Notamacropus eugenii: one gene and its partners. The protein of the gene in region 1 purifies or fractionates together with the protein of each later gene. This does not show direct contact. Links are inferred from orthologs where the notes say so. Each region holds a gene or a part of one and is shown in the gene's direction. Other genes may lie near its edges.

The links.
Region 2: the proteins of WRAP73 (region 1) and SSX2IP purify together in Homo sapiens (co-immunoprecipitation; 4 studies listed by BioGRID and IntAct, counting the BioPlex papers as one, with this or other methods). This does not show direct contact. The link is inferred for Notamacropus eugenii from reciprocal best matches to the Homo sapiens genes WRAP73 and SSX2IP.
Region 3: the proteins of WRAP73 (region 1) and OBI1 purify together in Homo sapiens (affinity purification with mass spectrometry; 3 studies listed by BioGRID and IntAct, counting the BioPlex papers as one, with this or other methods). This does not show direct contact. The link is inferred for Notamacropus eugenii from reciprocal best matches to the Homo sapiens genes WRAP73 and OBI1.

Annotation. Positions count from the first base shown.
Region 1 is NC_092876.1:39,902,441-39,912,819, reverse strand, and holds the start of WRAP73 (WD repeat-containing protein WRAP73), read left to right. Parts: upstream 1-5,532; 5' UTR 5,533-5,655; intron 5,656-6,730; 5' UTR 6,731-6,791; coding exon 6,792-6,860; intron 6,861-10,379.
Region 2 is NC_092873.1:493,725,237-493,735,208, reverse strand, and holds the start of SSX2IP (afadin- and alpha-actinin-binding protein), read left to right. Parts: upstream 1-5,796; 5' UTR 5,797-6,726; intron 6,727-6,870; exon of another isoform or gene 6,871-6,923; intron 6,924-9,667; exon of another isoform or gene 9,668-9,972. UniProt on the Homo sapiens protein: Belongs to an adhesion system, which plays a role in the organization of homotypic, interneuronal and heterotypic cell-cell adherens junctions (AJs).
Region 3 is NC_092877.1:258,128,214-258,138,372, forward strand, and holds the start of OBI1 (ORC ubiquitin ligase 1), read left to right. Parts: upstream 1-6,062; 5' UTR 6,063-6,260; coding exon 6,261-6,332; exon of another isoform or gene 6,333-6,471; intron 6,472-10,159. UniProt on the Homo sapiens protein: E3 ubiquitin ligase essential for DNA replication origin activation during S phase.

The DNA of each region.
Region 1 (10,379 bases):
ACTCCAGGATCCTTTTCAGTCTCTTTCCCTCTATACCATACACACAAAAGACTCATAAGATCGCACAGATTCAGAAAGGGAACCTCTTCATTTTACAGATGAGGAAACAGATCGAGAAGTAATGAAACTGGCCTGTTAAGCCAGATTTAACTCCAAATTCAGCCCATTATAATTATAATACGCAACCAATTAAATGAAGCATCTCCTCTGTGGGAAGAAGAAGCATTTATTGAGCACCTTTTGTATGACAGAGGCTTCACTGGGCTCAGGGGTTCCTAAGACAAAAGAGGAAATAGCCTTAGTCTACAAGGATCCTGAAAGGAAAAACGGACAACTATAATACACATCCAAATAACCTGGGTTACTCACCTATCTTGTAGGAGTGGTCGTTCCCTGTCTCTGGTCTCTCACTATCCAAATTGCTTGGGCCAGGAATCGCGCTGCAGAGCGCACCAACCAACCTTCGCTGGTGTGAGTCACACCTGCTTTGGGCACCAGGCTGGGGTGGAGAAAGAAAGCGGCCCCTTCCTGGTTCAGAAAAAGCACCCGGGCGTTCCTATAATAAGGCGACCTGGGGCTTTCCTCGAACCCAGAGCTTCCCATGTTTTTCAGTACATTCCCTCTTCCCTCAATCCTCACCCTCAGCAAGCCCGAATGAGGGTTTGGAACCACTTTCACCGGTCTATTAAGGTAAAAGAAAAAGCAGAAAAGTACCCACAGGACTTACAGGAAAGAGAAAAATATAGTCCTTACAGTTACAAATAACTCCTGCCTGGGTCCTAGTTCCTGTCCTAAAGCTAAAGAATCTTGCGATCTTGCGCTGGTGCCTTTTCCTCTGATTTTCTTCTGGACATGGTAACGATAGCCTGGTGTGGCTCTCGGCTTTGGAAATCTACCAGTCTTCTTAAGGTTAGAATTCTAACCGTGTCAGGTTGACTGCCCACTGGACCGCTATCCGCCTACCGTGCTGTAGATTTGGGGTCAGAAGATTTGGGTTCGAATCCCAACTGTCACTGTGTGACCTGGACTAAGTACTTTACCCTCTCTGGTCTCATTTTCCTCATTTGTAAAGTGATGGGATTGGATTGGTCCTTAACTCGGAGTCTGTGCACTTGTGTATTTTAAAAAATATTTTGAAAATTGTATTTCAATATAATTGATTTCCTATGTATTTATTTCATACATTTAAACATTATGAGACAAGAGTTCAGAGGCTTTACCAGAAGGCTAAGGGGGATACACGATACAAAAAAAAAAGTTAAGAATCCTGGACTAGATGGTCAGAAAGATTCCTTTCAGTTCTAAATCGATATTAACAGCTTTTCCCTTCAAGCATCTGGGTTCTAGGATCATAGTTTTAAAGTTGAAAGGGTCCTCAGAAACTATTTAGTCCCACCTGCCCTGCCTTATTTTACAGATGAAGAAAGTGAGTCTTCCTCCAGTGAAGATTGAAACCCCTCCATGTCTTAGTAGATGGTCTGTGAAAATTTCTGTGGCTAAAAAATCTAAAACCCTATGACCAAATTAGTGATGAGGCTTCTGTATTGGACTGAGTTCTGGGACAGTAGATTCACAGGTCTGTTTTTTCTAGTTTACTAAACTTTGGCATAACATCCTAGAAAACAAAGTCATCTTCATGCCAGGGAAAGGAATTGAAGGACTTTCAGGGGAGCAGGTGAGCATGAGCCCAAATGAAATACTTCTGACCCCTTGTCGCAAGTACAAAAAAAAAAAAAGACTTTTGTGGGATTGAATGAGCTTATAATAATTTGAATTAAAAAGTGTCCTTTGTGGGGCACATACTCGCTGGAGGCTTAGGGTGCTTATTCCAAAAAGAAAGTATGCTTTGACCAAATGAGCACTGGCTTTCTAGTCAGAAGACCTGGGTTGTCATTCTAAACAATTTTGGTTAGAAATTCAGTCAGGATCCTCCTCAGCGTGTTTTGAACTTCCTGGGAAGATCTAGTCCCATGATAAAGGGTCCTAATCAACCTTGTAATATTGGTACACTGGTAGAATGTTGAAGTCATTCATGCATATCTTAGGAAGCTGGACGGTAAACTCAATGAGGAGATGGACATACCATATCCCAGCACAGTGCTCTCTCTGTGCACAGCTAAGTGTTGGTTGAACATCTGTTGGAGAAATAAAGAGTAGACCCCAATCAGGAGCACTGTATGCATTTTAGGTACTTCATAAATGTTTGTGAGATATTTGGTGGCCCACTAGATAGAACCCTGGGCTTGCAATTGGGATCTCATCTTCATGAGTTCAAATCAGGTCTCAAATTCTTAGTAGCTATATGACCTGGGACAAGTCACTTAACTCTATTGACCTCAGTTTCCTCATCTGTAAGATGAACTGGAGAAGGAATTGGCAAACCACTTCAGTATCTCTTCCAAAAAAACCCCAAATGGGGTCACTCAGAGTGGAACACAACTCAACAACGACAACAGTGAGTTATGGATTTGGGACATGCATTTAAATCCCACCTTGGATCAGCTGTGTGTGACCTCAGGCAATTCTAGGCCTCAGTTTCACCTCTGTAAAATGAAGGGGTTGATCTAGATGGCCTTAGAGGTCCCTTCCAGCTCTAAATCTATGATCCTGTGGAAACCTCACTAGGTTCAATACACACAGGAGGCATTTATTTACTAAGGTAGGTTGAACTAGACTGCTTAATCAGGTAGGATCCAAAAAGCAACATTGCCCTCTTTTTGATTGCCTTGAAGGCAACAGAACTATTCTTGATCTTCTTTATATCCCCCATTCTTAGCACAATTCTTGGCACATAGGAAAACTTAATAAGTGCTTGTTGTCTTGATTTGAACATTTAAAAGAATACAGAAACTTCATTCTGTTGGGGGGGGGGGGGAGCCAAGGTCTGTTAAGATCTCTGTCTTGTCTAGAGTGCTCTGGTTTAACTAAGCCCCATGGATTTGGCCCCCCAGGACTTGTCAAAAAACCCAGAGAAGTCCAATAAGATCTGAATGGAGCAATGCGCAACTTAGAATGGAGGCCTTAGGACACCAGACCCTTTCCAGTTTCCCCTTCTTCACCCCTTGGAGAGTTTGAGATTACTGTCTCATACATAAAGCAGGTGTCAGGAATAGGGGTACTAAGCAAGGACAACTTAAGTCTATCCTGAAGATGCTCTCAAATCCACATCTTCTATCACATCAGTAGAGATCCAAGAGATGCTTTCATTCTAAGTAAATAAAATTGGGGGGGGAGAGGAAGAAATTTGCCAGATAAGAAGAACTCATCCCATGACAAGGGATATCTTCTGTTCTGCATCCCAGATCTCCATGCAGTCATAAGATCACAGAATTTTGAAGCAATCTCAGAGGCCCATCAAGTTGAACCATTTTATTTGACATTTGAGGACATTAAGGCACCAAAATCATATAGCAGGTGCTTAATTATAAATGCATGTGGGATTGCACTGGACTTGGGAAAGACTTGCTCAAGATTATATAAGAAATAAAGATGTCAATAATGGCTAACATTTATATAGCCCTTTAAAGTTTTCAAAATGCTTTACAAATATTATCTTATTTGGTCCTCACAACCTTGGTAGGTAAGTGTTATAATCATTGCCATTTTACAGTTGAGGAAACTCAGGCAGGAAGAGGTGAAGTGACTTGCTCAGGGTCACACAGCTGGGAAGTATCTGAAATCAGATTTGAACTCAGGTGTTCTTTATTCCAGATCCAAGGGAATAACTGGGGTTGGACTCCCCTTTCTCAGACTGTATCCATTATTACTCATTTCAATGTTATTCATTCACAGAATATTACAAGTATCTGTTGCTATCTCTCCAAGAGGGATGCATGAAGACTCTTAAGTAGGCTTCAGTAAATTAGAACTGATGATTTCTCCCCAGGACATGACAGAAAAAAAAAAAAAGCTTCTGGGAGATGGAAGGCCCAGAAGAATACTGGGCTGCATATGTGACAAGGACCAGAGATGCTACAATGATACCCACAGAATGTCAGGAGCTCTAGAGTAATGCCCAAACAACATTAGAGGGACCCACAAGTGAAGAATTTCTGGGAGGATATAGACAAGAGTCTAGAAGTATTTAGAAAATATAAAGGGATCAGTTTCAGAGAGGAAACACCAACTGCAAGGAAGACTAGGAAAGGCTTCATTTGGAATGAGCTTTGGAGGGACAATTAGAATAAATAACTTCCAGAGATATTTACCCTCCGTATTCTGAAATTACTTTGTATTTATCCATGTGCATATATGTTGTTTTTCTAAAAGAATGCTGGGCATTTGAGGGCAGAGAATTTTTATCATTTTTAACCAACTTTCCAGTTGTCTAGCATACAGCCTGCTGCATAGTTTTATTCCATGAATATTTATTGATTGATTAATGGGTTTCAGCTCTAAATCCCATGAGTGGGAGTAGCAATTGAATGCATTCACTGAATTAATCTATCAACCGATCAACAAATATTTGCTAAAAGTTGCCTATAGGTTAGCCAGTGTGCTAGGCTCTGGGAATAGGATACAAGGGAGAAGGGAAAGAGAGACTCACTTTCAAGATTCTGTAACTGATTGTGTGAATATTTAGCACAGTGCCTGGCACACAGTAGGAACTTAATAAATGTCAGCTGATCGACTAACTGCTTCAGGTTTATGTAAAGGGAGGAGTTGGACTGAGGTCTTTTTGAGCTCTGGAGAGAATTGTGGCTGTTTCCCCTTAGAGGGGGGCACAGCCACACCGACTCATACCATGACACAGGACTTAACTTTCCTGCTGGTAACTCCTGCCCTGAGCCGGGATGAACAGACTCGGGGTTGCTTCATTCAGGCGTGGGTTCCTGGTACCCTTTTCTCATCTCATGTCCCCGCCCCCGCCCCCAACCTTGCCAGTCCCGTAACGGTAATTGAATGTACTGATGGGAAAAGTGAGTCAATCTACTTTCCTATGGTTCTTCTACCCGTTATCTCTAAAAAGATTGTATCTGACCACGGTGATCCTGAGCAGGGATTTTTCTCGTGGGCTCTAAGTTCCCTTCCGTATCTAAATCTGTGATCCATGCATCAGAATGTAGGCCTCCGGGCCTCAGTTTCTCCACCTGTAAAATAGGGGTGGGGGCAGAAGTCGGTGCCCCGGCCTCTAGGATCCACTCCGGCTCTAAATCTGTGATCCTGCTGTTAGAATTCGGGCTCCTCATTCATCCATTCATTCACTCATCCATTCATTCATTCATTCATCCATCCATCTACCCATTCATTCATTCCGCCCAGCGCGGGGCGGGGGCGTGGGTGAGAGCGCGAAGGACGAGAGTCCCAGACCGAAAGCCTGGGGGTTTACACCTTCGTCTCTCTCCCCTTCTCCCCGTCACTCTCGCCCCCTCGCTCCTCCCGGGACTACCAGGCCAGCCTGGCCCCGCCCCTCCCTCCGTCCTTACTAGACAAAGCGCGGAAGGGAGCGGCGGCAGAAAACTACAACCCCCACAATGCCATTCGGAACACTGCCCCCCTGATAGGCTGACGGCGATTTCCCGCCTTCCCCTGCTTCCGGCCCGCTGCCCGCTGGCGGTCAGTTGTTGCAGCTGCTGGAGCAGCGGCCCGAGGGTGGAGCAGGAGACAGCGGCGGAGGAGGAGGACGAGGAGGCGGCGGCGGCGCCGCGGGGACCGGTGAGGGCTGCCGTCCTCCCCGATGCCCGACCTGGGCCGCTCCCCGCAGGCCGTGGCCGCTCGTCCGCCCTCCCGGGACTCGGGGCGGACAGACCGATGGGGGAGGGGGTGGGGAGAGAGGGTGGGGGGAGGGCGGGGGAAGGAGGGGAGACGGAGGCTGTGCTTCTGTCTGTGTCTGTGGGTCGGGCTAAGAGACGCCGCCCTGCCCCCTCCCAGCGTGAGAAGGTCAGCGCCCCCTCCCCCCTCGCACGGACTGGTTCTGTTCTCGCTGCAGGGCCCTCCTCATTTTGTCGGCATCCCCTCAGTACCTTGCAGCCCCGCTACGTGTGAAGCGCTGGGTTAGGGGCGAGGGCCGCCGAGGCTCTCCCCGGGTCACGTTAGCTGGGGTGGTTGGGTCTCCCTCCCCTTCCACTCGCCGTGGCTGACCGTATCTGCCTTCCCCCATCTCCCCCAGCCCTGGGGTTCTCTCTTTAGGACAGTAGCTGTACCCCTCCTTCATCTTACTGCCTTCGGAGATCACCTCCAACTTACTCTGTCTGCGTCCTGTTGGCATCTACTTGTGTGCAGACCATCACCCCCTTTAGACCGTCAGTGCCCTGAGGGCAGGGATGGTCTTTTGAGACCCTGGCACATAGTCGGTGCTTCATAATGCTAGCTGACTGATTGACTGTTAAATGCTTCCTATGTTCTTGGGATCTTTTGAATAAAGAGAGGAGGTTTTCTCTCTCCCTAGGGTCTCTTGGGGGGGGAGGGAGGGCACTGCACCATTCTCTGCCCTTCCTTCAGCCTCCTCCACCGTAGCCCCTCATTGCTTTGTCCGAATGTCCCCGTGTTTCTCCCGTCATAGCTAGAATGTGATAAACCCCCAAAGCCCTACCAATATGACCCCATCGGTCCCCGCAGTCATCTCTGTCTCCCCCCTAAATGCAGCAGAGGCACTGTCCTGTGTTTGAGTCCAAGCCTTATCCTTATCCCCCTCAGCCTTCGGGTGCTGGAGCACATCGTGTTCCTCTAAGGGGTTGCCAGCTTTGTATCAACTACAGCCTGAAGAAACATTGTTGCCTTTGCCTTCCAGAGTCTCTCGGGCCCTTCTTAGCACCTTAGTTTCTTGGCCAGCTCCAGCACTTGCGTCAGTTATGAATTTCTCTGAAGTGTTTAAGCTCTCAAATCAGCTCAGCAAGTTCTCTCCCAATGGAAAATTCCTGGTGAGTTGTCTGTGGTTACTTAGACCATTGCTGGTCAAACTGTGGTTGGCAATTTCAGATGAGCTAGGAAGGCTGACTCTTAATGCCACTGACTTGATGTGTGACATTGGGTAAACCAGCTGCCTTCTCTTGGCTTCATTTCCCCTTCTGTAAACTGAGGGGGTTTGTAAACTTGGTGTAGTAGGAAAAGTGCTGGATCAGAATCAGAGGACCCAGGTTACAGATCTGGCACTGCCCACTACTGTCTGTGGGACCTTGAACAAGTTACTTCCCCTGCCTGGGCCTCAGTTTCCTTCTGTGTAAAGTGAGGGGGTTGGATTACATTACTTCTAAGGGCTTACTTTAAATCTGTGATCTTGGGTCAGGTGATCCCTCAGGCCCATTCCTTTTTGGGGGGAACAGAGAACACTGAACTAGATGCTGGGAATGTGCTGTCAGTCTAATAAGAGTGAAACAATAATGCAGAAAATTACAATAAGATATATTAGAAAGTGTTGGCTCTAATAGTTGAGTAGAACAAGAATGACCTTAGGTCACTTGGTCTGATAACAGAATTGGGTCATTGCCTAGTACCCTCATATAACTTGTGACAGGAGGAAACACTTCTTGACTCAATGTTTTTTCTAATATGCGGTATTTAAATAAAATTTTTAAAAAGTTATTCATCCATATGGTGGAATGATGTTGACCAGCCATTGTCATGGAAATCAAATTTACTGTGCCTATGACCAAAGCTGTGGAATCGAGTCCTTCTGCCACTAAAAAGTGCTTTGAAGTAGTAGTTTTTTGTTCACTTTTGCTAAGTATACACATTTGGTAACTTTACTTTCCCTTATCCCTTCTTTCTATACTCCAGAACATTGGAAGTAAATGATTTAAATAGCTTACATTCTGTCTTGGTGAGGAAAAGTAGTTTTTTAAGATGACTAGGATTTGAACTTTTCGTTCCAGAGATTGGAAATCTTATGCTTATGTTACAAAGCTCTGTCCTGGATACAAAATTTAGCTTTGGATATATGCCATTATAATTGTATAATATCTTTGGAGTAATAGAAAAAAAAACCCAACCCAATATTGAGACATCTCCTGTCTTAACTCATAAATTCCACCCAGAAATTTATCGGATGTCTGTCATTCTAATAAATAAGATTGCCATTGGTACTAACTCAACAGCTTTGGCCTCACTATACGCATTTTGTGAAGCCTATATTGTGGCAACTGTAACTTAAAGAATTTATATTTTTGTCTTTTTTTAACCTAAAATTACAGAAAATTAAGCATTCAGGTGTTAGTCTAACAGCACCTTAGGACCTATCCCTTAAGGGTTTGATGTTTGCTTGTGTTTGGGGGACGAGGTTGGTGTGTCCATTCAGTTGGTATAAACAAGTGATCACAATGTGGTGTCATCTGTGACATCTGTATGTAAAGAGAAGTAACAGATGCTTGCCTAATTTTGGCACTCTTGTCATTACTGTTTTTGATGTTTAGTTAAAACTAATAAGGAAGACTTTTCCTTCAGATTAATCTAATCCTTTAATACTCTTGAAGGATCTGCCCCAACTTAGTGCTTTAATGAAACATTTGCATATTACCAGTTTGAGATACCTTAAAGAAAGCTGAATTTATAATGTATATTTTTTCAGGTGTTGATAAAAAGATCCCATATCATAAAGAAAGAATGAGTAACAGCAATTTTCCAAAAGATGATTAGTTAAAATTTAGCTGCTGCTGGTGGAACTCTCATATTTTTTAGAAGCTTGGGCTTATATAACAAATGTTTTAGAAAAGACTCTGAGTAATCTGTGTCTTGCAGTTTCATACACAGAATGTATTAGTAGTCCATATGCAGTTAGCTGGCTTTTCGCCTGGGCTACAGAGACAATATTGTATAAATAAACAAAATAATAAACCTTGATCCTTTCCGACTATAAACTGTTGCTGACCTTAAGTATGATGAGTCTTGGGGAAAAAAATCTTTAGTGGGCATTATTTTTTACAAATGCTCTTAAAATTGTGAATTTATTTAGAATAAGTCAATAATGCAACTGCTCTTAAATAAATTCCAGTCTTTCAACTAAACCATTAATAGTTTCCTAGGTTTTTGGACATTTAATTCAGGCTATGTAGTATAAATTTAGATAACTGAAATATTTTATGAAAAATAGTTGGAATTGAAGTATATTTATCCTAAAGTTAAAACTGCATGTTTTTATGTCCATTATTAACTAGAATGGAGTTTTCTACTATGAGCAAATATTAGCATAAATCCACCTGCGTTCATTTCCTCATTGTTATTATTTGTCATGTTATTTGTACTACGAACGAAAATACATTTTACTTTGATGAATGAAAAATAACAAAAATACATTATAATTGCTTCCTAATGTGTAACTGGAAACAGGCCAAGTGCGTATGTTGTCTTAGACTGACTTTTTCAGGGAAAATATCTAAATCTATTAGAAGTGAGTTGATATGACACACATATAGATGTTCAATAAATATGGAGTGAATAGTTTCCGTTTTCATAGAACTTGAATAATGGGATTCTAATGTACTTGATTCTGTTGAGAACATGAATGAAAAATTTTCACATTCTGACTTAAAGGACTTTGTAATTTTATTGGTTTGGAGACTTCAGATATGGAAACTCCCTCCATCCCAGACATATTGCAATTCCAATATAACTTATAATTTGCCTGAAGCAAGGAGAGGTTAAGTAACTTGTTATGGGCACATGGCTAGTGTTAGAGATGAGACTAGAACTCAGATCTGCTTTGAAATCCAGCACTTATCAACTACTCGAAGGGTCCTCTCATTGCACATTTCTAGGTATGTTCAAAGACTGTCACTGTTACATATGTGACACAACTAAACTGTATTTTTGTATTATTGTGAACTTATCACATACCACTTTTTAATAGTACGATCCTCCAAATTAATTTAAATTATTTATCAAATATAATATCTTAATGCCTTTCTTCTGAGTGAGGAGCTCAGAGTGATTCACAGATATCTCTTCCATTCTTTTAGCATGTCTATAAGGTACATTGTAGGAGGGTAGTGTTAACCATTTGGTTTGAGATACGTAAACTGAGGCGTAAAGAAATTGTTTTTTACCTGGGAACATAGCCTTTATAAATATTTATGGAGATAAAAACAGTAAACATTTGTTTAATAAAGGAATATTGGTCACTAAACATAATTACTAATTTTATATTAGATATTAAGATAAATGTGTATCTGCATAATATATTCACAGTTTTAAATCCTACAAATATTAATTGCGTATGTATATATATACATATATGTACATATATATATAAATACACACACACATACACACACACACACACACACACACACATATACACATATACTATCTACCCAGTACTCTCCTGGCACTTTGGTCATTTTTACCAGATACTCCTTTTAACAGCCTTGTTAGGTATGTTCTTGTTATGACTTTTAAATTGTCTCAAAAACAAACAATGGTAGGACCAGGAGTGGTCCCTCCTTCCT
Region 2 (9,972 bases), on another chromosome or scaffold:
CCTGGACAAGTCACTGACCCATGTTTACCTTAGTTTCCTCATCTTGTAAAGTGAGCTGAAGAAGGAAATGGGAAACCACTCCAGTCTCTTTGTCAAGAAAACCCCAAATGGGCTCACAAACAATTGAACGACTGAAATGAAACAACAACAACAAACAATGCCTTTTTTCTGGGGGTGGGGAGGAGTGAACAGTAGCAACATGCTTTTTTGGTGGTGGTGGGACAGTAAGGAAGCATTAGCAGCTGAGGAACATGATAGAAGGTTTCATTTAGAAAGTGGTATATAAACTGAGTTTTGAAGGAAACTAGGGATTCTAAGAAGCAGAGATGAGGAGGAAGCAAAGTTCAGGCATGGGAGACAAGTCTTCTCAAAGACACAGAGACAGAAGATAGAAGGTCATTGGGGAGAAACCTAAGAAAGGTGCTTTGGTTGGACTATAGAAGGAGAGTCATGTATAATAAAGTTGGAAAGGTAGATTAAAGCCAGGTCATGAAAGACTAAACATGAGTTTATATTTAATCCTAAAGATAGCTGGAAGCCACTGGACATTATTGAGAAGGGGAGTGAAATGATTAGACCTGTGCTTTAGGAAAATGATGTTTTGGGAGCTATGTGGAGGTCGAATTGCAGCAGGGAGAGAACTGAGGCAAGTAGTTCAAATTAGGAGAAAAATTAGACAACTTAGCCTTGGATCCAGTCAATAAGTTCCAAATCTACCTAATTGTACTTTCATGTAGTCCACATCCCTCCATGTTATGGGCAAGCATAGCAAGAAAGAGGTTGTCAAGTATTTTTCTCAAATCTAAGTATACAATGTCTAGAGCATACTTCTGATCTACCAGTCTAGTTACTGTTAGAAAAATATATGAAGTTAGTATGACTGGTTTATGAGGCAATTATTTTCCTTTTTAGTATTCACTGCTAAATTTTCACAGACCATCCCCTTAATAATGTTTTAGAATTTTACCTAGAATAAAAGTTGGGGTCATTTATGTGTAGTTGGCAGACTCCAACCTCATTTCTATTTGCCTTTTTCCAGTCCTAAGTCCTCTCAGAGATGACTGATAGTAGCTCAGCCAGTTCTTTAGGATATAGGTCCTCTGGACCTGGTGACTTAAACTCATTAAGAAAATATAAATACTTTTTGACCATCTCTTCATTATCTTGGGTTTCTACTTCATGCTAACCATTTTGTACTATCCCCTGGGCAATAAGACTATCCCTCCTTTGGGCGTTTCCTTAATTCCAACATAGCTAATGCAAAAACAAAGACAAAAATGTTAAAAACAACCCCTTTTTCTGTCTTGTGCAATCATTGCTAACCTGAATTCTTTCTGGACTTTAGGGCAGGTCAGCATTATCCTTCTGTATTCATTCGCAAATAACTCAGGTAATTTATTTCACCTTTACTTTTTTTCTAGTTTTCGGAATAATTTTGTTTTTTGCCTTCAGAATTTTATTATATGATTTGATTTATAAAAATTCAATACATACTTTTTAAAAAACAATGAATCTATAACATAAAACAAAGTATTTCTGTATTAAGTAGGAAAACACAGGAAAAGATTAGAAATTTTCTTAGAACACTATTACTCATTGGAAACTTCGGTCTATTAATGTGTGTGTGTGTGTGTGTGTGTGTGTTTAATGTCTGTGGTAAATGAGAAAAGGAAAAAATGTAATTTAGATAGTATTAAGATATGATCTCCTATGTATTATAATTCAAATCATATTCGGGGCATTTCAGGTTCTTTCTTGCTTCATATTTCACCACTTTGTTCACTCATACTATCATTTTAGCTTAATAAAAACTTTCTCTTTGCTTCTACTGGCTCACAGAACGGTTTCCACTAAAGATGCTGAGCATGTTTAAACAGACAAATGAAATAGCCCACGTTCAGTTCTCTTCGTGATTATTTGCCAAGCTGTTTTTCCTGCAGAGGTGGCCTAAACCTGAAGGCAAAATATCATGCACAGATACTCTTAAATGGTGATGACTCAGTCCAGATCCCCAGCCTATTCCAGTCTGTGATTATATATCAGAAGGTTGTTTGGTAAGCACTGAATCAGAGCAAAAAGAGCTAGAACTTTCTATGGGAATAGCTCTCCTCCATTTACCTGTTCCTCACACTGTATCCTGGAATGGTTGTTGATAGAATCATTAGATGACGTAATTTAGAGTAGAACACAATTATAGTATATTCATTATTACTTATATTTGTGTATGCTCAGGAGCAGAAGCTGTGGTGACAAATAATTGCTGGGGAATCCTAAATAATTGACAATGGCTTCATTCATCAATTCATTTATTTATTCAATAAAAATTTACTGAGGAGTTACTGTGTGCAAGCCACTGTGAAGAATATATATCTGAATAAGACATAGGTAGGTAGTCCTATACAAGTTCTTTATGATTTAGTAAGGGAAATAAGATATGTTGACATTGAAAATGGACAGAAAGAGACAAGAGAGAGAGAGAGAGAGAGAGAGAGAGAGAGAGAGAGAGAGAGAGAGAGAGAGAGAGAGAGAGATAGCGCAGATCAGCTAGCTAGTTGCTCAGGCTAGCCTCTGTAAGAAGGCAGTATTTTGATGGCCTTGCCTTCCTCTACACCATGGCTATTTCTGTCTAGATAACTGGTATGAGTCATTAAAATCAGAGTACCCAGTTATTTGTGAACTGATTCTGCCCAATAAAGAGGAGTTGGCTGCCAAAGTTGAAGTGATAGGAACCTTGGAAAGAAGTGATCAGTATATCTTAGAGTTTGTGATAAGTAAGGGAAGGAATGCAGGGCAAACCCTGAACTTGGGAAGAATAGATTTCACAGATTGTATAGATAGGATCCCATTCCTTCAAATTTTATAGGGGAAGTTGGATCAAAAGTGATGGGATGCTGTTAAGGAAAAAATTTGATGACACAAACGCTAGTGATTCTGATGAAGAATAAAAGGGAGAAAAGTCTTAAAAGAGTGATGTGGATGCACAGAAAACTTCTGGACCAACTTGAACTCCAAAAAAGGGATGAAAGAAGATGAAAGCAAGAGAAGTTTACTGAGGATGAATGCAAAACAGTAGCATGGTCCTACAAGAATAGTGCTAGGTGTACTAAAGCTCAGAACAAGCAAAAGCTTTCAAAGTATGCTAAGGAAAACAAAAAGAACAGATGATGGAGATAAGACAGAACTACTCAACACATTTTTTCTATTTTATTTTTACTAGGAAGAACAATCTTCAGTTGGACACAGATAGAAGAAAAATGATTAATGAGGAACTGAAATCCATGATAATTAAGGAAATGGTAAGAAAGTGCCTCCTTGCCTCGAATAAGCTCAACTCTAAGTGCAGATAAACTACATTTCTGAATACTAGGAGAACTAACAGGTGTCATTGCCCACTGAGTTGTAATCACCCCCCAATTTTTTAGAAAATTGTGGAAAATGAGAGAAGTAGTACAGGATTGGAGAGGGATTAAGGTCCCAGTTTTCCAAAAAAGAAATAGGATAATTCATCAAGTGATTGATTGGTGAGCCTTACTTTGATTTCTGGAAAATTCCAGAATATATTAATAAAGAGAGAATTTATAACAATTTAGAAAGAAAAATCATGTTCCCTAAGAGTAGGCACAGGTTTATCAAGATTAACTTGTGCTAAACTAAATTCAGTTCGTTTTTCTGATTGATTCAGTGGATAAGGGAAATGCCACAGACACGATATACTTAAGCCTTAGCAGGCAGTTGATAAATTATCATGATATCTTTATAGATAAGAGAAATGTAAATGATATACTATGAACAATCTGATGGAATAAGAGAGTTTCCTATGTCCACTAAGCAGGTTTAAGCTGGAGAGGGGTGGGTGACACATCAAGATTTAATATTGACAAGCTGGAAGGATGGGCAAGATCTAATAAGAAAAAGCTCAGTAAGTAAAATAAGGAAGATAGAAGTAAAAATATTTTTAAAAACCATTCACTTGGGCAAGTTTAAAAAATAAACTGCAGAAATATCACATTTCTAAAACCACCATTACAGAGGAAGGATGAATAGTCAATAGTATGAGTGAAAAAATTCTGTATTGGTGTACAGTAACCTCAATATGAGTCAACAAATGATAGGATATGGATGATAAAAAAAAAAAGGTAATGTAATCTTATGTAGAATTTAGAGAAGCAGAGCGTAAAGAATATGGGGGAGACTGATCATGCTACTTTCTGTTTTGATCAGTTGGAATATTTCGATAAGCTCTGGTGGAACATGGACAGTTGCTTGATGGAGATTGTCTATTATGGTAAGAAGGTTAGAAACTATGCCAAAGGAAGATCAGTTGAAGGAACTAAGTCTGGAGAAGAGAATTTGGAGTGACAGGAAATCTGTCTTCAAGGATTTGAAGAGTGGTTATGTGCAAAATGGATTAGAAGTGTTCTCTTTGGTCCGGAGCTGGGGCAAAGTGGAGGAATAGGCAGATTGCAGAGACAGATTTTGTCTTAATATAGGAAAAACTTCCTAACAAATTTGTCCAATGACAGAGGCTGCTTCTCCATCACTTAACAATAGGGAAAAGGCCTAGACCTGTGATTTCAAATTCGTTTAACTACTCCCAGAAGAGGAAGCACCCCGTAGTAATACCAATGGGTACTTTCTTGACAATTTATGTCCTAAGAGAGTTGCCTTGAGTGTGGAGAGGTTAAATTACTTACCCAGAGTCACACAATATGGGTCAAAGACTTGGTTTTAAGACCAGCTCATTATCCAATGTCGCCTAGAAGAATCACTTCACAAACAATGTGTTCTGAAGGCAACCCCCCAAATATGCTGACCTTAGCTTCTTTACATCTCCTTGCCCTACCCTTAATGGTTCATCATTACCAACGGGAAACTATGGTTAAATTCACCTATTGGACTTTTTATGTTTGCCCATGTTTGGCTACAGTAACACCTAACGTGTTACTATTTAAGAAAGGAAAATAGCCCAAAGAAAGTACTAAGTGTATTTGAGGTTATTTTAAAAGGAGAGTAGTCATGGTTTTGCCTTTCTTTGTATCTTAAGTGCTGGGCACATAGTAGGTGCTTATGGACTTGTGACTTATCCAGACAGGTAGATGAGGCTTATCGAGATCTTGATCCGGGATGGCTATTTTGGTGGTTCTTTGGACAGTTTTCTTTTCAGCATCACTCTTTGGAGTACACCTCCCAAGTTTCTCTTCTTTTTCCTTTCTTTTTGCACTTTTTCATCCCCAAATCAGAAGGAGGGGGTTGGAAGGTAAGAGAATTACTCCATTTTCCACTCAGAACCCTATTCCCACGTGCCACCGGTTAGATGCCATATTTCGATGCTACCACTGCCCGCTCCCAACATCGTCCATTCCCCAAAGTCGCAAGTCGGGCCAACTGGAAGATCTTTTGGGGATGGAATGTGCACTTTTCACAGCTCCATTTTCTTCTTCTTACTCTATTATACCTTTACGGGAAGTCTCGGATTTGGAAAAAAGCCCCGAAACAGTTTTTCAAGCTGACGAACTCCTTTGTCCTTGTCCCGATTTCTTATTTTAGTTACAGCAAACTGCCAAAAATCCTACGAAAATGTGAAGCCTGCATTTTCATGCCTCCTCTTCCTTTCCTTCAATAAAATTCACCATCCTCTGCATTTTACAAGGCATCTCGGATTTTATTTTAAAGCTCCCATCCCTGTCCTGCCGAATTCCTCTGTCCTCTGCTTTAGGAGTGTTTCGACTTGTTTTTTCACCCTTCAGAGCAGATATAGGGGCACACAGAAGCTAATCGAAAAGAAGATTTGCGCATCGAATCCTTGTTTTTCATATTTCTGGCATGCCAAGCCACCGAAATGGGTAGGGTCGACACTTTTTCACTGTGCAGGCGTAACTTTGGCATCTCTTCTGCTTCTACCACTCTCAGAGGCACGTCTCTCATCTTGTCCAATTTTTTTCTGGGCAGGAGTCGCTCTTCCTTTCTTTCTCTAGCCTTTCTGGTCTATTTTTGGAGTGCTGACTTCTTCCTTTGGGGCTGGAGTCTGCATCCAGGCGTCCTGGGAGCCTGACCTAATTCTGGAAGTCAAGTATTGTCATCCTGTCGGTCTCCCTTTGCCAAAGCTCATGGTTGGGCTCCAGAAGAGGAAAAAAACCTTCTCGTCTAGAGTTGTTGGCGCGTGTTCGCTTCGCCTCTTTAGAAAACAAAGCCAAGAAATGCCTTTTCTTGCTTATCCCGAGCAAGGACTTGGAGTGTGAGTGGAGCAGAGAGCAGGAAGAGCCTGGACAAGCGCTCCCAGGGATTCGCAGGCTCTAACAGGTGCGTCGCTGCAGCTGCGCTCCCATCCCAAGCCTGGAGTGTAGGGAATAAGACTTTTCAAGTGCAAGGGGAAGGGGGTGGAGCCAATGGGGAGGCCCAATCAGGTCAAGTAGGCCCCGTTATTTATCTCCTAGCAACCGAGGGAACCAATGGGAAGGAGCCTAGGTGGTGGAAGGCGAGGGGGAGGGGTGGGAACAGCTCAAACCTGCGGCCCTAGGGAGGGGAGGAAGCGCAGAAGGGGGCGGAGCCTAAGCTGGGGAGACAGTAGAGGAGGCGGGGCTTGCAGGAGGGAGTCTCAGCCTGAGGCGCCTCATTCTCGGGCCTGGCAGTTGGGGATTGTAGCTGCAGAGGGGAGTCTGGTGGTCGTAAGGCAAGGAGCCCCCTCCCCCACGCACCCCCCCCCGCCCATGGGGGGGGCCATGACTGGTGAGCGTCCCCCCCCCCTTAGGGTGGGGTCACTGTGACGTGCCCAACAAGGGCCCAAGAGCCTGGGTGAAAAGGAAACCATTGGTTGGGGGAGGGGGTTGGGGTTGGAGGTGGGGGGCTGGGGTGGGGGTGGGGGGGTGGGAAGAAGTGCCTTCTCTGCGGCTGGGTATGCAGCGAGGTGGGGGCAGGGCAGGGAGGTGAGTGTGGCCGCCGCCCTGGCACCTGGATCTCTGCCCCTCCCCCTCTGGGAGGCGCCGTTGGGGCAGCTGGCCCGGGGTGGGGGGTGGGGTGGGCCCCGAGGCCCAGATCGGCTCCTGCCCCCCTCCCCCAAGCCCATCCCCCCCGCCCTGCAGGGGTGAGGGGCGCTAGAGGAGAGCGCTCCAGATGAGGGGGGAAGGGAGGGCGGGGGCGGGGGGGGCACGACCCACGCGACGGACAGGTGCCAGACACCGGAGGGAGGAAGGGCCGAGCATCGACGTGGGGGGAGGCGGCGTGGGCAGGGCCATCGCCTCGCTCCCTCCCTGCTGGAGGGACAAAGGAGGGACGAGTGGGAGGATCCCCTTGACGCGGTGGGGAGGGGTCTCCCTGGGAGGACCCTCAGTCGCGGCGATGCTGCTGTCGGAGCCGCTCCGCTCGAGGCTGGCAGCCCCATGCTTGCCTGGTGGCCTGGACGAGGCTCGGCGGTGGGAAAGCCCCCCTGGGGCTGGGGGCGGCCCGGGGGACCCCAGCCCTGGGCCAGCCCCTCCGGCTCCCTCCGGGGAGGCCCCCTGTCGTGGGCAGCGCGGGGCCGGGGCCCGGGGGGGCCGCGAGGAGGCGGCTCGGCTCTGGAAGGCTGAGATGCGATAGTGGACTGCCGGGAGTCGTCCTTCTGCTGTGTGTTTTCGGAGCGGTGTCGGGCGAGCGAGTAGGGCTCAGAGCGGGGGCCCGGGGCTCGGGGGGGGGCCGGCCGCGGGCTGAGGGCATTGCCCCGGGCTGGCCGCGGTCGGGGGGCCCGGGGGGCCGGGGGCAGGGGCGTGGGGGCTGTGTAACGAGGACCCGGGCTCGGAGAGGTGCTGTGCTGTGCTGCGCGGCTCGGCTAGGTGCACCGCTCGGAGCCGGGCCCTGGCGTGCTGCGGCTGCCGAGCCCAGCGCGCCGGGCCCGGGCACGGCCGTGCGATGTGGTGCGGTGCTGGGTGCCGCGAGCAGATGGAGAAGTGTGGAACGAGGCCTGGTGCCAGAGGCTCGTGCTGCAGCAGCCGGGTGCGTGCTGCCAGGCGGCCGCGCTCGGAGCACAGAAAGCTCGGGAAGGGCCCGCGTGGCGCAGGGCCGCACTAGGGTGCTGCTGCGAGCGCACGGCGTGCTGGGCTCCCGAGCGGTGCCGGAGGGTGCTGCCGGGCCACGTGCAGTGCCGGGCCGGCGGGGCTGCCCTGGCGCGCGGTTTTATAGAGTGTGGGCACCTGGGCAGTGAGGTGTCAGGGAACGTGGCGTTGCGCTCGGAGCGCTGTAGTCATGCTGTGGCACGCGGCGTGTTGTATAACGCTGTCCTGCTTATCTAACGGTACTCTGCTTGGGCTGCGCTGATCCTAATGTGGCCTACAGCTTAGAGCGGTTAGATAATACGGCATTAGACTACTTCAAGGGGCAACGTGATATTATATAATGTGATATCATAGTCAGTGCTGTAATAATATTGTAGCATGCTACCAGAGGGTACTGGAATGGTACCGTACTAGGGTTAGCTTGTTATATAGCGTGATGTGCTTTTAGTACTGCAATGATATAAAATACTATTTAGGACACCATAATATTACAACGTATTTAATTACTGTAATAATATATATGTAATTATGATATAAAAACTCAAGCACTGTAATATGTAACATAGTATGTTTAAGAGTTCTGTGATAAAATTGTTACGCTATTCAATGCTATGTAATATTCCATACTAAGAGTACTATAAAACATATTAGACTTAGAGTACAACGTGTACTACTTAAAGTATATAATTTGCTTTTGTTCAGTTGCGTCTGACTCTTCATGACTCCAGTTGGGGTTTTCTTGGCAAAGATCCTGGAGTAGTTTGCTGTTTTCTTCACCAGCTTATTTTACAGGTGAAGAAACCGAGGCAGACAGGTTTAAGTAACTTGCTTGAGGTCCCACAGCTAGTGTCTGAGACTGGATTTGAACTCAGAAAGATGAATTTTCCATACTCCAGGCACAGCAGTGCCTTCATGGCACTACCTAGTTGCCCCAATGTAACATAAAGTACTTTAATAATATACTACTTAGAGTAATGTAATATAGTATATTATTAGAGTAACATAATAATATATCTTCTACTTAAATGGTGTGTAGTATAACCTATTATAACAGAATACTGGTTGGTTGGTTGGTGGTTGTCTTTCATTCTCAAAGAGAACCAAAATGACATCACTATGCTAGAGTCAAGTTACAGTGTGTCTGACTGTGGCCCCTCAGACCAGTATGAACTTGGTTAGGCACACATAGTCCATGTGAACATTTGGGGTGGGTTCTCTAGATCTGCACATCTTTCCTGTGCTCATAGAATACATCGCCTTCTCTGACAAAGGTGCGCCATGCTGCGTACTATAGAGAATACACAGAGTATTATAAAAATATATGTGTATATATATATATATATATATATGGTACAGAGTACTATGAAGCATATTTTAGCATTATAGTCAGAATAATGTCCTAATGATATACTACTTAGAATACTATCTGTTTAGAATACTGTGATAATATTATATAATACATAATACATAATGTCATACCAGTATAGCATAGTATATGAAGAGTACTGTATGGTATATTATAACATTATCCTGATAATACTATAATATATAATATTACAGAGTAGTGTAATAATACAGTATACTGTTTAGACTACTATAATATATTATTAGAGAGTAATGTAATAATAGATGTTTTTGCAGAGTGACTATTATGTTTATAGTACTGTAGTAGTATAATAATATATTACCTAGAATACTATAATATATAACATCATATTTATTTACAGTGCCACTATACATACACACAACACACTACTTAGACTGCTGTAATCCACATAGAGTACTATAATTGTATAATATATAGCAACATAATTATGTAGTAACACATGGTAATATATAATGAAAACTAGCTGGCATTCACATAAGGGCAAGGTTTGCAGAGCTCTTTACCTGCATTATCTGATTTAATCATATAAGCTACTGCAATAACTGCTATGACTCACTTATT
Region 3 (10,159 bases), on another chromosome or scaffold:
TAAACTTCGTACAAAACATGTTTTCTTTTTTTTTTCAACTTGCATTTGAAAGGCTGCTGCATAAACCTGGACTGGTAAATAAAACTCAAAAATCTCATTTCATTATGTTAAACTTATTGTTTAGTAACAGGTGGGCCCTTCCCACCCATGTGGGCTCCCGTGGCAGCATGATCCAATAGCTCAACATAGGGGAAAAACCTCAAGCCCTCAAGTGAACAATCCATTATGTAGTAGTCAAAGCTACTACATAACTTCATTATATCCTGGTCGACTGAACTGCTTTTGTTGGCCCAATCTGAGAGTGTCATTTCCCATCTCTGATGATCAGAATACCCCCAACATATAGGCTCAGCATTTCCTTAGGACTTTGATTGACACGTTGGTGCATTTGTCTCCCCCTGCTGTCACCTTGATTTTGGATTATCTGGTGAATTGGAGGAAACCAACCAATGGCCATTAAGCCCTGATACCAGGTAGCCTGGGATTTTTAAACTTTGTAGATAAAGGATACAACAATTAACCAAGGAAATATGTGTAAGTGAGTTACTACAAATCACAAAGTGGAGGGAAAAAAACAAAACAAACAAACAAAAAACAAGGGATTTGAATCCCCTGCTTTAAAAAAAAAAATGTCTTTTCCAGGATATTTTAGCAGACTGCCTATTTCCTACTTACTTTATCTCCACTTATTTCGGAACAAATTGTTAACACCAGCTTCTGAAACAATTAGTTTCCACAGACCTTGGTGATAACATTTTTCCTATCCTACCTAACACATTTGACTAAACTGCTTAAGTTCATCCTAATTACAGGAATGAATGAATAGTTCAGCCTCCTTAGAATTGCCCCTTTTGGTACTGGACTCCCAGCCCCACTCTCAAACCCAACTTCCACACCAGACATAAACATTTTCACTATTTCCCACAAGTTTTCTCACCTTACTCTTGTGACGGTCTTCTTCTATTATAAAATTAGTTGATCCTAGGCTTGTATGATAGTAACTTCTCAGTTCAATTCAACCAGTCTTCACTAAGAGATGATCAAGGTCGTTACACTAGACGTAAGATATACAAAGACAGAATTTAAAATAGTGTTTGCCCTGAGGAAGCTTATATTCTATTGAGGAAAATATAACATTTAAACAGGTAAATGAATACAATATAATTTGAGGGGGGAGGTTTTTTTAATTATAAGTTCTCAGTTTTCTTTCCCTTTGCCTCTTCAATCTGATACAAAAAATTAATTTATTTGGATAAAGCAAGAAGTTCTATAGCCATTTCTGAGTAGAAGGTTAAAAGGAAACATCCTTAAAGACCTCTTACAGTCTAACTTTCTCTTTTCTTCCTGTTCTAAAATGACCACTTTTTCAAAGCTAAATTCCACTTTGGCAGTGTCTAAATTGTCCGTGATTTATGACTCAAGAGATTCTATTGCTAGGCCTATCACCCAAAGAGGTTGCTGACAAAAAGAAAAGCTCTACATAAGCCAAAGTATTTATAGCAACACTTTTTTTGGGTAATAACAAAGAAGAACGAGAAACAAAATGTATACTTGTCCACTGGAGAAAGGCTAAATAAATCCTATGATGTAAATATATTGGAATATTATAACACTGTTAAGAAATAATAAATACAGAGAAGAATGGAAAGACATGAACTGATGCAAAATCAAATAAGTTGAACTGGGAAAATAACATATACAATAACAACACTATAAGTGGAAGAACTACAAAATCAGTGAAACTAAGTACTGCAAAAATTACAGACAGGAAGGTCGGCCCCAGAGGAAAAAAACCAGAGAGGTGGAAGAGGGAGTTATTGATAGGAAACTATGAATATTGTGTTACAAAGACGAAAATAATAAAAAGAAAAATAATAATTTAAGAAAGTTAGTACTATATATGAGGTTTAACGGATGAAAAAGAAATATATCCTGGTTCCACAACTTTTTATCAGACTCACTCATTTATTCAATAATACTGATGATGATATTGATAACATTAATTACAACTCATTTCTGTAGCGTTTCAAATGACCCAACTAGGTGGTGAAGTAGATAGAGCACTGGGCTTGGGACCAGAAAGATACCATCTTCATGAGTTCAAATCTGGCCTCTGACACTTATTAGCTGTGTGATCCTGGGCAAGTCATTTAACTGTTTGCCTCAGTTTCTTGATCTATAAAATAAGATGAAGAAGGAAATAGGAAACTCCAGTATCTCTGCCAAGAAAACCCCAAATGGGGTCACACAGAGTAGGACCTGACTGAAAAAACACTGAACGATATAATACTTTAAAGTACAGGAAGGTGGTAGTTACTGATGCAGTTTTTATAAGGTGCTAAATTCCAGTTAAAACAAAAATGAATAATACATTGCAGTTGGCCTTAGGGTATTTACAATCTGATAACCACACCCCTAGTAAATGGCTTGAACGCTGTTTTTGTTAATCTGTGATTTCCTTGTTTACCAAGTATGCATCCTATTAACAAATAAATTGATTGTTAACTCTGTAACAAAAACCTTCTCGTGTTTATTCAACATAAGCCACTATTCTGGTATTCAGTCCACTAGTTTGGTTTTTAAAGCTGATTTAGCTAAACTTCTTTCTCTTTTCCCTTTCCCTCAGCTAGGGCCCTATTCTGTGCAGGTCTTTTTGTGTGTTTACTAGTCAACTAGTTTTATCAGGCTCTTTGTTAAGCACCAAGAAAAAAAAAAAAGTTGTTTGGTTTTTTGAAGAGGACCAGTGAGCACCGGGTGATGTTTTGGTTCATATGTGAACTGGATTTAAGTGAGGCCAAATTGGACAAAGCTGTCAGCTTTACTGTCTTCCAGTCACTGAAATCCAGTGGCAAGACACAAGTCAAGATGACTGGCAATGGCCAGGGATATAGTATCTGATCTTGGTGTATTCAGGACCTGCAGCACTCTTCAAGGCCCTTGGAAGAAATTATTCACTTCCACCCATTCCTTAGGGTAAGTCTTTGCATGCTTGTGGGAGATATCCCCCTATCTCACCCACAGGTTTGAGGCCCGTTGGTTAACCCACCTGCCTAGACAGTATACCCCATGCTTCAGTTCATGAATGCACAGGTGAGAGTTGAGTGCTAAGCAGGAACCAAAGGTGGAAAAGAAGCCCTGAAAAGGGTTCAACAAGTCCTCACACAAGAAGTGCTAGTCCTCTTTGCACACCCCATACAGAAGAGTCCGACAGGACTGAACAACAACATGGCTCTCCTCTGTATACAAAGGAAAAAGTACTGCCACAATCCACAGAGAGCTTACGTTCTAAAGGAGGGAGAGAACACATCCTGAAATCTGTATGTGTGAAATAAATACAGAGTAGATGGAAGGTAGATGGAAGATTGAAGAGGGTGGAAGTTAAGAGGGAGAGTATTCTAGGGGGGCCCTGTGTGAGGATCAGCTAGAAAGCCCACGTCTTGACCATTTGAATAGAAGAGATCAATGTGTTAAGCAGGACTACGCCTTCAGATACCAGAGTGAAGGCAGTAATAATGGCTGGGTGGGGAAGTGTGAGGAAGTGGGTGAGGGAGGGGGTGAAGGGAGGAGTGTCAAAAGGATATGAGATAAAGAGGAGTGAAGACGGAGCTCTTCTCTGAGGTTTTGTCAATGAAATATGAGTCTCAGTCCTCAACTGAGAGGGTGGGAGGCTTGAAAAGAAAAGGGATGTGGGACCGTGGTGAGAGGGATAGATAAGCAATTAAGGTGGGGTTTGTGGGATTGTCTAACTGCCATGAGAGCCTAGCTGAAATCAGTTTAGTCTAAATCTGTAGTGGACCAACTCAACCTAGCTTCATCATTTCCTCCGGTAAATGAAAAATTCTTTTCCCCAAACCCATTCATAGACTAAAACAAAAATCTTATATAAAATTAAGGAAAACATAATATAACTTAAAAACTTAACATAAACATAAAAACATAAAAAATAACATAAAAAATTGCAAACGATGACTCATGGAACCATAACTGTTATATGCCAACTGATAAAAGGGAAAACCATGTCCACTGACCTTCACAAGCCAGCACCAATGCTGATATCGTATTTATTGTTTTTTCTGCCCGTGTAGAATGTTGTTTTCTTTAATAGAGCTGAAATCTGTGTGTATATTGTTACTTAGTTCTGCTTTTTTTCACTCAGAACTGCTTTTTATCTCCCAATATTTCTTTGTATTCTTCATATTTGTCACACCTTATGGTTATTCCATGAGTTCAGACAACACAATTTATTTAGCTATCCTCAATATCTAAAAAAAAATTAAATATTCCAATCAGTTAGATGAAAAGGTAAGGTTACAGTTTTCCTGAGCATGGATGGAGGGAGAAAAGAATTTCAATTAACCAGTGTTATCAATGAAATAAGAAAAGATAAAATAGAAAACCCTATGTAAATAATAATAAAAAATTTTCACACAAATAAAAGTGATACATATAGACCAGGGAGAAACCATATAAAAAATCTTTGCATTAAACTGCTTTGATAAAAAGCTGACATCCAGATCTACAGGGAACTAACACATATCAAAGCTATTCTCTCCTGAAAGGCCACAGTGCCTGGAGAGCAGGTCTCTAAACCATGCAGACCAAGGGACCTCTGACCCTAGGAAAATCACTCTATTTCTCATTGCTCCAGGCAAGTCTCTAAAACAACTTCCTCAATTGCAAAGCAATTTAGGTAGTAGATGTTTTTCTGGTAGTAGGTGTTTTTCTCCACCAGTAAAATCACAGGTTTCAATCGAACGCCAATCTACCCACCACCCCAGAAAGAACTTCTCTCAAACTCAAGTCTTTCTGACTCCAGATCTGACATTCAAGGTCCACTCTGTCACTTAATTATAATCATTCTCATATTACTTTAAGGTTTGCAAAGCACTTTACCAATAGTATCTCAATAGATCCTCTAAACAACCTTGGTGCTGTTATTACCCTCATTTTACAGATGAGGAAACTGAGACAAACAGAGATTAAATGACTTGACCAGGGTCATGCAGCAAGTAAATACTGGAGAGTGCACTTGAAATCAGGTCTTTTATATTAGCATGGGCTGACTTTGGATAGGCAAATGCTAAGAAACTGTAAAGTCATTGAAGTTATGATCCACCTGTGTTGGATCAGTTCAACAGTCTGTAGGACTTCTTTCAGATGGGCACTGGCATCCGAACATGGAGCTTCACAGATGATCTTAACTGCAAAGTCACTGAAGTTATGATCCACCTTTGTTAGATCAGTTCAACAGTCTGTAGGACTTCTTTCAGATGGGCATGGCATCCGAACATGGAGCTTCACAGATGATCTTGGGAACAGTTTAAAGCATGAGAGGTTTTGTTTTTTGCACATTTCTTAGAACAATCCTTCCTGCTGGTCGTGTAATTATTGGAGGGTCTGTGAATCCTCATCCCCTGCTAACTAATCGTCCTTTCCCACTTGTAGGTCCATGCAGATGGCAGGAGGCATCTGGGGACACTCCAGGCAGTGAACTGGAGCCATGAGGACAGATGCCAAGCAAACCCCCAAGCCCATCATCTCCAAGAAGCCCTCTCTGGATTCCTCTAGATCACCATGCATTAAGCGGCCGAGAGCCTCTGGACGCTGGCCACTCCACGGGGTAAAGGGGATCTGCGGGGAACCTGGTCTTCTAAGAAGGCACCCTTGGGGGAAGCTGAAGGGAAGACGCTTACTGTGTAAGCTCCGCGGAAAAAGCAATTTGCAGCCCCCTCCCCTCTTGCACCACTTCAAACCGATTCGGCCAGCACGTATTAAGCGCCTACTGTATCCCAGGCACTCATGAAGACCTAGGAAAGGGTAGACTCGGACTCAAACACCCCCAGGGTTCGGTCCCCGCGGGAAGGAGGACGCTAAGGCCTCCGCCTGCTGCTAAGCGGGCTACGAGCCCCTCCCTCACCTTCCCCCCCTCCCGTAGGCCCGCCGCAGCCCCCCCCCCCACGTTCCCCGCCACTCGAGGCCCCGCCCCCCGCATCTTTCTGGCCTCCGCAGGGTGCCGGGGAGGGGGTGGGGGGAGGGGTAGGGCGGGAAGCTCCCTCTCCCTCTCCGCCTCCCCCCCACCCCCCCGCCGCCGACTCCTCGTTTCCAAGCGCGTTTCGGTTCCTGGCCGGGAGAAGGCTTTGGCCCCGGAGAGCCGCCGTAGCCCGCACCTTCCGGCGCTCGGAGCCGCGGCGGCCGCAGCTCGCGGCCCCCTCCCCCGCGGGCAGTGGGACTTCCGTGTTGGCGGGATTCTGAACGCGGCCATGGCTCAGAACGTTCAGAACGTTACATTGTCTCTCACGCTGCCCATCACTTGCCACATTTGCTTGGGGAAGGTAAAGGAACGGAGGCTGTGCGGCCGCGGAGGTGCCGCGGGGGGGATCCCTGCCGGCGCCGGCCGAGCTTCTCGCGTAGGGCGCCGGAGTTGGGGGGAAGTGGGCGGCCGAGCCCGTGCCTGGCAGCGGAGGATTTTCCGTAAGGGGGTGTTCGGGGAGACGAACGGGGGTGTGTGTATATGTGTGTGTGGGGGGAGAGAGAATTGGGGGGCTCCGGGCTGACGGACGCTGATGGAGGGACAGAGCCGGCGGCGCGGCCCGGCTCGCGCGGGCGCCAGCGTGGGGGGAGCCCCCAAGAGCGCCGGGGGGGGGGCGCTGCCGGAGGTGCCGGCCCCCGCGTGGGATTGGAGCTCAGGCGCTGAAAATGCTAATGAGCGTGGTCCGCGCCTCCCCCGCCCCACCCCCACCCGGCCTCTCCGACTCCGGAGCTGGGGGCGCCGCTTCTTAACTTGGGCTTTTTATTTTCCTAAGCTAAGGGTGGCTTTGGGTTCCAACCGTCGGTGTGCCCCAATTAAGATGAACCCCCAAGTGGTGTCCATAACGACGAGCCCTCTGAAAGATGTGAGGCGGCTCTCTGTACCCTGGACTTGGAGGGGAAGGGCGCAGTAAGTGCGCTTGGGAAAGCGCTTGGGATCAGGAAGTTGCCTTTTTTTTCATTAATCAGTAAGTTTTCGTGTTTTTCTTTAATCAATAAGTTTTCATTTTTTTCTTTATTTTTTCATATTTCTTTTGCTCTCCATGTTCCCTCTTAAAAAGTTTAAAGACCCTTTAAGCCTAATGTATATTGAGAGCTTGCTGTGTGCAGGCAGCAGTCCATGCCAGTGATTGGCGGGTCTCTTTCCCCCCACTCCCCAAAACCAAGTGCAGACTTTATGAAACTACAGTTTAAAACCACAAGCCGCGCCAGCTCAGTGTCAAATTTTTAAAATGCCATTTAAGTCATATTTAATCGAGTACTTCCTGTATGCCAAGCACCAGTCTTTCACCCCACTCCTCGCCCCCCAGATGCAGATTTTGTGTGTTAGACCATGCAAGCTCACTGTCAAATTCTTAATGGCCATGTAAGTCATATGTGTAAAGTACTGCTTTATGTCAGTGATTTGCACATCTGTCTTTTCTCCTCCCACTCCCATATCCAGAGGTTTTGAAACTACAGTTTAAACCACAGGCCATGCCAGCTCAGTGTCAAATTTTTAAATGCCAAGAGTGCTTATTGTATGTAAGGTGCCAGTTCAAGGCAGTGATTTGTAGGTCTTTTATATATCATTTCACCCACTACCTCCTTCACCCCAAATACAGACTTAGTGAAGCTTCAGTGGACACCTCAAAGTTAGGCCATGCAAGCTCACTGTCAACTCAGCTTTGGATGCTGCCCTCCTCCTCTAGATCAGTGTTTTGGAGAAAATCCTTTTTTTATCAGGGTTTAGGAAGTCACCTTCTCCTGAAAGGCTTGGGAAGTTCCCACTTCTGGTGTTGACGATTATCATTCATTATTAATTAGGCTAATTCAAGTCTTTAACTCTTTCATCCAGGGAGCTGTAATACAGGCATGTTCATAGAGAACTTTGTGCTTTCACAAAAGCGCGTCTGTCATTCCATTTGGTTCTCACAGCATCCTTTGAAGTAGGGTGGGGAATGAGGAAACTTTGACCCAAAGAAGTTATATACCTTTCTCAAAGTCACTCAGCTAGTGAGTGATAGAGATAAAACTACCACTGACTTGGTATGGGTACCTTGGAATGGGTATTTGAGAAGCACACCTAAGGTCTTTGACGCTAATGAGGAAAGCCACTTTTGCTTGGTAAGGTAGTAAAAGTATTCATGATGCAATTTCCTTATAACTGAAATTCAGGGTTAGCTGAAACAGCATGGGAAATACTGTTTCCTTAATTTTGCATCATGTTATATCATTTTTACTCATCAGGCTATTTTGCAGATATGCAGAAAAACCTTGTTATGGACCAGTTAAGGAGGGAGCACCTGTGTGGGAGCCAGTGTGCTAATGATGACTGACTGCTGGAGCCCAGACATTGGCTTTTGCATCTTAGTGAACTCAGAATCCCAGTTACTCTGCTGAGAACCTGTATGCAGTAATGATTTTACATTAGATTCCACTTTCACAACAACAATAAAGCCGACCCTCGTTTATAAGCATTTTCCTGTTTGTTTTTCCTGAAGATAGCCAGTCAGTCAATAAGCATTTATTGAGGGCCTACTATATGCCAGATACTGTTAAGTGCTGGGGATACAAAAAAGGGGGCAAAAAACAGTCCCTGCCCTCAAGGAGTTCACAGTCTAGTGGGGGAAACAAAACACTATATGTAGAAACATGCTACATGCAAGATAAATTGGAAATAGTTAACAGAAGGAAAGCACTAGAAAAAGAGGGTCTGAAAAAGGCTTTTTTGTAGAAGACAGGATTTTAATTGGAAAGAAGCCAGAGAAAAGTTGGCTAGTCAGATGATAAGGTAGTTGGGTTTTCAAGGCAGCATATTTTGAAACCTAAAAGCAGTCCTCCTTCATTCATTGCTCATCTAGACCCTAGTTAATATGTGGGGCTGGAGATACTTTAACTGAGGGCTAGCATTTCTGAGTTGCTTCAGGATGAATTTGCTGGGTGCATTAGAACAGTCAGTTCATCTATCCAGGGTCCTCCTAGCATAGAATCTTGGAGATAGAAGGTACCACAAAGGTAATCCAGTCTCATAATAATATTGCACATTTACATAAGCACTTTAAGCTTTATTGAATATTTTACATTATTTTATTTGATTCTTTAAAAGGCCTGATGAGGTAGGTGCTTCTATTTCCATTTTGTATGTGAGGAAACTGAGACCAAGAGAGGATAAGTTACTTGCCTGAGGTGACACAGGTCATAAGTAGGAGAGGTGGGACCTGAATCTGAATCTTGATTTCAGACCCAGCACTCTTTGAAATCAGTATATTATGCTTTAAGTAACTGGGATAGAACCCACTCCACCCTTTCTTAATCCTGTGATTCCTGCCCCTTCCCTCCAAGATTCTCCTAATCCAGTGGGTATTGGAGTATCTATCACGGATGTGCAGCCATGGAGCAACTCTGGCCTCTACTAATTAGTAAACATTGATTAAGTGATAGGCACTGTGTTAAGCTCTGGAGATATAAAAATAAGCAAAAGACAGCCCCTGCCATCAGGGAGCTCTTGCTCCAAGTTATCTCGGCCTCAAAGAACTGTATTCCTCCCACCCCCTTTTGATCTATGTTGAAGTAATCAGGTAGATTGAGGGCCATCTGGAGAGGTATCTATGTATCTCCATGTCAGCAAACTATCTCCACCAGTGACACCCCAACTCTTGAAACATCCACTGCTAGCATATCCTTGGACTATACTTTAAAAGCTTAGATACTGTCTCTAGGTCTCTTATTTTTTTTTAGAAGGCAAACATTATTATCTTAAAGGATAGAGCTCTAGCATTGGTTCTAGGCTTCTTTTGTTACCATAGAACCACTTGCCACTTGGACAGTGCTGATGTTGAAAACTTGCTCCTAAAGAGATATCACATAGGTAAATTTCAGTGAAGGAGAAAGAGAAGCCAGAAGAAGTTTGTATTGATCCAGCATGTCTTTTGGTTCAAATCGAGAGTTTTGTTTGGAAGGCCTACAAATGCAGTTTGTTAATGGCATTGCTGTAGTTAGCATTACTGAACCTTTAGTAACCGTTTTTCATATTTTTAAACACTTGAATGTGTTTGTTACTGTTTTTTGCATACATTAGGGGAGAATAACTTCTCTGCCAGATGTTAGTTTAAAGAATTCTAATCAATCTTAACCTAGGCTACCAAGGTCA